Sus scrofa: one gene and its partner. The protein of the gene in region 2 purifies or fractionates together with the protein of the main gene of each other region. This does not show direct contact. Links are inferred from orthologs where the notes say so. Each region holds a gene or a part of one and is shown on either strand. Other genes may lie near its edges.

Evidence for each region.
Region 1: the proteins of MAP3K14 (region 2) and TIMM13 purify together in Homo sapiens (affinity purification with mass spectrometry; 3 studies listed by BioGRID and IntAct, with this or other methods). This does not show direct contact. The link is inferred for Sus scrofa from reciprocal best matches to the Homo sapiens genes MAP3K14 and TIMM13.

What each region holds. Positions count from the first base shown.
Region 1 is NC_010444.4:76,145,109-76,149,028, reverse strand, and holds TIMM13 (mitochondrial import inner membrane translocase subunit Tim13), read right to left. Parts: upstream 2,084-3,920; 5' UTR 2,017-2,083; coding exon 1,897-2,016; intron 1,811-1,896; coding exon 1,742-1,810; intron 1,572-1,741; coding exon 1,473-1,571; 3' UTR 866-1,472; downstream 1-865. UniProt on the Homo sapiens protein: Mitochondrial intermembrane chaperone that participates in the import and insertion of some multi-pass transmembrane proteins into the mitochondrial inner membrane.
Region 2 is NC_010454.4:18,180,702-18,183,943, reverse strand, and holds the end of MAP3K14 (mitogen-activated protein kinase kinase kinase 14), read right to left. Parts: intron 3,071-3,242; coding exon 2,970-3,070; intron 2,644-2,969; coding exon 2,479-2,643; 3' UTR 1,013-2,478; downstream 1-1,012.

The DNA.
Region 1 (3,920 bases), on a different chromosome or scaffold from region 2:
ATCCGGCATTGCCGTGAGCTGTGGTGTAGGTCGCAGACTCGGCTCGGATCCTGCGTTGCTGTGGCTCCAGCGTAGGCTGGCAGCTATAGCTCCGATTCGACCTCTAGCCTGGGAACCTCCATATGCCGCGAGAGCGGCCCACGAAATAGCAAAAAGACAAAAATAAATAAATAAATAAATAAATAAAATTTAAAAATTAAAAAAAAAAAGAATGAGGGCAGGGAGTTTTCACTGTGGCACAGTAGATTAAGAATCTGGCTGCAGCGGCTCCAGTTTCTGGCCTGGCACAGCAGGTTAAAGGATCCTGAATTGCCACAGGTGTAACGTAAGTCATAGCTTTGGCTCAGATTCATTCTTCTTCTTCTTCTTTTTGTTTTTTTTATAACAACTGGCCACTCCTGCAGCATATGGAAATTGCCGAGCCAGGGACAGAACCACAGCCACTGTAGAAACAACACCATGTAGTTATGTTGTGAGCCACAAGGGAAGTCCTTTGGTTTGAATTCAATCCCTGGCCCAGGAACTTCCATAGGCCTCACCTGCAGCCATTAAAAAAAAAAAAAAAAAAGAAGAAGAAAAAAAAAAAAGGAATGAGCAATAATAAGGAAGGGAGTAGTTTGTCACCAGAGCTGCTCCAGCCCTTTCCTCACAACCTATCCACCCTGACCTTTTGCAGGAAGGAGGTCCCTGCTCAAAACCTGCCAACCACCACCCCACCTTTTAGTAGGAGTGAACAGAAATCTTTAAAGATTAACTTTCAGTTAATCCTAATGCATAGAACACGAAGACACATACACACAAAAACAAAACCACGAAACCCTGCTGGGAGGAAAATGGTGGCAAATCTGACTTCCAACAAACGCTGTCTCATTATGTGTGGATTTTACTACATTAGCTTATTAAATAACACACGCATCCGCAGCCTCGACCAGACATTAAAGACCAAAAAAGATAAAAAAGAGGTGGCACCCCACTCCCTCGGAAAAAGCTCAGCCCCTTCCCGCGTAGACATACACACAGGCCTCCTTGTTAAAATTAAGCCCCTCTCGCCAGCTAAGAAGCTGATCTGTGAGTTCGTTTGTTCACGCGTCTCCATACTTTAACTGCTGAATAAAGCTTGTGCTGTGTCCATCTCAGCTTCAGGCTCCACGGAACAGAAAAAGAACACCCCCTAGGAGACATAGAGCCTAAGCCGGCCCCCAACAGGGTCCATATGACACAATTCGGTAACAGGGGCACTAGGGAAGGCACCACCCGGGCCAGGGGCCCCCCAGACGCAAGTTACACTCGCCGGCACGTGTGCGCGAACGGGGCACGGAGAAACAGAATACCAACTGTCCCAGCACCAGTCTGGTCCTCATAAACTTCTGGCAGGCAGCACGCACACGTTGGCCCCCGCCTCACAAACAGCATTTATGGAGATGGAACTGGGAGTGGGGTGGGGTGGGAAGTGGGCTGCTGGCGCGTCGCGATCACATGTTGGCTCGTTCTCGCTGCAGCCGAGAGTTGTAGGCACGGGACACGGTGTTCCAGGCGTCCATGTAGCGGTCCATGCACATGGCGATGCACTTCTAGGGACGGGGAGGGCGCGGGGCTCAGGTCTGGACCGCTGGCTGGGACCCCCAACACTCCCAGCAGCGGACTGCGCACGTGCCCACCGCACCGCCCCGTTAGTCCGCGCAGGCGCAGAGACCTCCCTGTCGGTCGGGGCCCACGACCAGTCTGGCTCCCTGGGTTTTACCTGCTCCGAATTGTCCAAGGAGCCCCCCGGCTTCCCGATGCACTTCCGGAAGCACTTGTCCGTCATCCTCTGTGGGGACACACGAGCGCTCAGTTGCGACTCCTCTCCCAGGGGCCCCGACCACCCTCAGCCCCGCCCCCGGCCCGGCCCCGAACCTGCAGCAGCTCCTGCGCGTTGGCCACGGCGATCTGCACTTTCACCTGCTCCATGATAAGCCCCGGGTCCAGCTTCCCGCTGCCGGAGCTCCCGAAATCCGAGCCAAAGCCGCCTTCCATATCTCCGCAAAGTCAACTGGAGTGCGGCCGCGTGCGCCCTCCCCAACCCGCGCCGGAAGTGGGCCGCCCCGTGGACCCACGGGAAATGGAGTCCGGGCACGAGGGAGCATGGGCGGGCGGGATACCCTTACCGCGCGGGGGGAGTCCCGCGCATGCGCAACAGGAGCAGGCCGCCGCCGATTTCCCCGAGACGGATGGAGGCCCAGGGTTCCGCGCTCAGGCCCCGCCCCCCGCGGGTCTCGCCGCGCGTGCGCACGAGGCGGCGGGCACTTCTACACTAGACCTTGAGCCCGGGGAGGGACATGGGCGTGTCACGTGGCCAAAGGGGCGTTGGTGAAACCCGTGGGTGAGGAATGCCAAAAACTAGGATAGCGGGTCAAACTAGGAACATTAGAGGATGAGAGCTCCCGCTCCAGCTGGCTGGCGTCGGAGTGAACTCAGAGGGAGATTTTTAAAACCAAAATGTTTATTGGAGTGTTGTATAAAAGTTTCCAGTCATAAAAGGTATATTACAAATCATTGGAGAAAGCAAAACACACGTTTGGCATGCATCTTAAAAATCACCCACAGATGTCTGAAATGTGTCCAGACAGCCGGGTTCTTGAAGCCGAGTCCACCAGCATGTTGTACAGATGATCCCTTACGGGTTGGAATTAAGACCTTTCCAGTAGCTTTAATGTCCTTGAGGAATGTCAGTCCCAACTCGGATATGCTGATATAAATAGAACTGCTGGGAAGACCGTGTGAGTAAAAACCCCAAGTCAGAAGCCTTGCTGTTAGGAAAACAGCTGAACGCCCAAGTCTTAGGTGAGCACCCAGGCCCCGGGGGAAAGGCAGCAGTGTCTCCCAGGGATTGCCTTGCCGACCTCATCCTTGTAGGCCACTCCTTCCCTGGGCTGGGCCGAGAATGAGTTTTCTCTAAATTGGTGCTACAGTTACTTGCAGTCACATGACAAGGGCTTAGAAAAAAGAATCACTTCGGCATCATTTAAATGGCTGAAAGTTAAGCATGTTAAAGGGCAAGTGCAAATTGTTTCCTAGGCTATGGCTGCCATTTTAACATTGGACTCTTGTTTCCAAATACTTGAATATCCACAACTGTTATCCAACTCCAGCCATAACTGGCCACCAGCCCAGCATACCCACCAAAGGCACCTCAGTGCCTGCCTGGGCCACCTCTAGGGTCCACTCAAGACCTCATCCAGGCAACTGTGGGGCAGGGATATGACCAAAAGGTGGCTTTGAGGCAAATCACCTGCGAGGAACAATCCCAGCCAGGGAGCCTGGGGGCTCTTGCAGGCCCCAGTGCAACCCTGGGGCTGGTTTTTCTGGGCCGGCAGTGAGGGTAGGGCCCTCTCCCTTCCTTCTGGGCCAGAAGCCCTGCCTGCCAAATTGTGTCAGCAATTCAGACCCAAAAGCCAGGACATAGCTTTGACCCCCAAATTTCCAAAATACCTTGAAGGATGTGGCTGAGCCCAGTGCAGTTTCCACATGATTAGGGGTCACCTCCACCCACCCTCCCAGCACCTCATCACGCCCTCCAGACCCTCACTAGCCCTCACTTCCTGCTATGGGGAGGGGTGGGGAACAGCCCACGGCCTCAGAGGCCTGGAAGCCTCTCACTCTTGGGGAAGGTCACACACTGGGTGGGGATGGTGCGTTGCCAGGGCAGGAAATGCTCACCAGGGGCCTGCACCTTCCCCGAGAGGCGAGGCTCTGGTGAGATGCGTCTCCTTCCACAGGGGTGTCCCTGTCCAGGAGCTCAGTGGCTGTGGACTTAAAGCCAGGGGCTGCGGGGAGATTGTGGACTCAGCAGCAGCGCTGGTTTTATCACATGGGCACTTTCCTGGCCAGGCCTTGTGGTGAGCAATTCCCAAGGAAAGGAGGCAGAGTGAAGTCCGAGG
Region 2 (3,242 bases):
CCGGGGCACCGGCGCCTGTGATGTCGCTGCCTCTGTGACGTCCCTGCCTTGACCCTGTGGAGACGCCGGTGGGCAGGGAATAGCATTCACTATTCCCGCGGTGGGGCACATGGGTGGGCTTGGTGCTTTGCGGGCGCCCTCTGGAGAAAGCGGCTCCACCTCTCCCCACAGCAGGAGCCCCTCTCCGGAGCCATCTCTGCTCTGCAGCAGGTCCAGAGGTGGAGGGCAGAGACCGGTAAGCCTGGGGTCTGCTGGGTGGAACTTCGCACTGGCCCAGGGAACACAGGCACAAGGCTGATGCCCCTTCCAGGCTCAGGACCCTCCCAGAGCCTGCTGAGTGTAGAGAAGATTAGACAAGGTACCCTATGTGTGGGCGGCATCCATCCTCAAACAAGTCCTGTGTCCCCACCAAGGAACCCACTTTGGGAAAGTCATCTCTGACCGCTCAGACAGAGACTCAGAGACTTGCGGACACTTGGAGCAGCTGCAAGGACCGGCAGTCCAGGCCCACTCTCAGTTCAGTTCCCAGGAAGCCAGGCCTTAGGGATGGGAAGTGGGTGGGGGCAGTCTTTGTTCCGGGGCCCTGCCCCCACCTAGTCCTGCCTGGTCAGTGCCCAGGCCTTGGAGTCCCCCTCCCGCTCCCCTCAGCCTGGCGGTGTTTGGCTAGGGACTTCCCTGCTTGTCACCAGGTGGGGTTATCTTGCCTAACTGGTCTGAATGGAGAGCCCAGAGGTGGGATGGGAAGCACCCACCGGGAGGGGTGGTGGGAAAAGCAGCCCTGCTCAAGGGCCCTAAGGGGTGAGACTTGATAAGATCCCACCAAGAATGCAAAGGGAGGAGGTCCCTGCTGGCTCAGTGGGTTGAGAATCCACTGTTGTCACTGCTGTGGCACAGGTTCAATCCCTGGCCCAGGAATTTCTGCATGCCATGGGCCAGGCCAAAAAAAAAAGGCAGCTGTTAGGACACGAGGTTCAGCAAATGGACAGGCAAGAGTGGAAACAACCTTGGCCTAAACAGTTATCACTCCAAACTTTATTGCTCAGAGTCCCCTGCCGCGAGAACTCCACAGTACCAAGGCTGTGGTTCTGCAGGAACAGGGGCTGCGGGTCTCCCCTTGGGGAGCACTATGGCTCGATGTGGATAGGTGGACAGAGGCCACCTTGGTGAATGTGGGGATGAACTTCTCCCCAGGAGGACTCTCAGGGGACACCCTCTCACCCCCAGGAATTGAGGCTCGCAGGCCCCTCACCACACAGGGATTCACAGTTGATTAATGCTACATGAGTCCGGATTAGCACCCCACCAAAAGAAGAGGCCAGGCCGAGGCGATGGGTGGGGGTGGCATCTCATCTGAAAGGCATCTGGAGGAAGCTTGATGGGTCACATGCATGGAGAAGGGTCAAGAGTTGAGTCCTGTCACCTGGCCTGCCCTCCTCTCCTGGAAGGCGGCCACGAAAGTGCTTTGAGGTCATCAGAGTGCAAAGTGCAGCTGGCAGTGCCCCCGAGACCAGGGGGGACAGGGTCAGTGAGCGTGGTGCCCGAGCCGTGTCTTAGGAAGCTGGGGTGCAGATGCTGAGAGCCGCGGCCTGGGGAACAGTAGCACCTGTGTCCGCCGCTTTCCTTCGCGTCTGTTGTGCACCAGTCCCGAGAGGCCTCGTGTCCGACTTCACTTCTACACACAAGGGAGCTGCGGGCCAGCTAGGTCAGGGCAGTGCTGGGCCTGCGCTTGGGGCTCAGGGGATGCTGCTCTGGGGAGGACTGGTGGCCAGCAGCAAAGGGGCACGTGCCTAGGCACTGAGAACCATGTCACCTGAACGACTTCTTTGGTCCTTGGCTGAAGCTGAACTCAGCTCAGGGCCTGGGTTGCAGCACCCTGAGAAGTGGGGTGCTCTCTCCCGGGAGATCCCCCAGTGGCAGGCTCTCCTCCCTCCCTGACCTGGTCTGAAAAATTTCTGGAGCTAAAAAGGCGTTTGATGGCCAGGCAAGACCGGGCAAGGGGCTCAGAGGGCTCCCCATGAACCCCAGGGCAGGGACGCCTGCCGCCCAGTCCTGTACTGGGCCTGCGGGTGGGTCATTAGACGCTACACACCCTCATACCTGCCTGGAGGCTGAGGGAGGGGCTCGCCCACCCCTCCCTGACCCGGTGGAAGCCGTTCTCCCCTGACTGCCAGCACGTAGTCACTGATCCTAACGGGTCAGGCCAGCCTGTCAGGACCAAGGCAGAAAAATCCTCTTTGTTCCCAGAGGGAAGAGGCCTCCTGCCTTCCTCCTCTTCCTCAGGCAGGCTCAGGCAGCACACAGGTGGGAGATCCTGGGAGGTGTTTTGTGAGCCCCACCTTACTGCGGCCAGTCCCTGGTCCTACCGCTGAGCTAGGGGCTGGCAGACCCCTGGGGGCAGAGCCTGGGTCGCAGGGGTGGCACTGAGCACCAAGAAGGAAGGCTGCTTCTGGCTGAGTGGAGCCGGTGGTGGAAGGCGGGTTAGGGCCTGTTCTCCAGCTGGCCGTGCTTGACCCTCCAGCTCCAGGCGAAGCTGCCGTCAGGGGCCAGGGTACACTGCAGGTCGATGCCTGAGTCTGGCACCTCCATGTCATAGCGCACGGGCTGCCCGTCCTTGGTGACCAAGCTGAAGGCTGCGGCTGGGATCTGGGGGCAGAGCAAACCAGAGGCCTCAGAGCGGCAGGGGAGCTGAAGCTTCCTGGGAGTACAGAGCGGATGGTCTGCCTTCGCGCCGGGAGACACCCACCTCTGGCCGAGCCGGCAGCCCTGACTATCTGCACTATCTGCCTTTCCTTCTGGAAGACCTGACCCGGCCCAGGTACAGACCCTGAGGAAGCAGTCTTGCCCTGGGACCCTGGGGGGACCTCCCAACAGTGCCATTCCTACTTATTCCAAAGCCTCTTTCCTGGAGGACTGGGCGAGGCGCGCTGGATCCTGGGACTCCGCCCCTGAACAGGCACCTGCCCCCTTACCTGGCTGCTGATGCCAGTTGCGATGTCTCCCACCTTGACCCGGTGGAACTCCCGGATGTGCAGGTGTTCGCCATTGAGAGACTGGATCTGGACTTTCACACCTGGAAGGCAGGCAAGGTCACCGTCAGGGGAGCGGCTGTGAGCTCCCTAAGGAACCCAACGTGGAGTGAAGTGGGGGGGCTCTGAGGACGTTGCAGGGGCGGCCTTTAGGATGCTGTGGCCGCAATGTTACACTCCTGCCAGCTCTTCCTGGCCATCGTCCGTCGACACTGG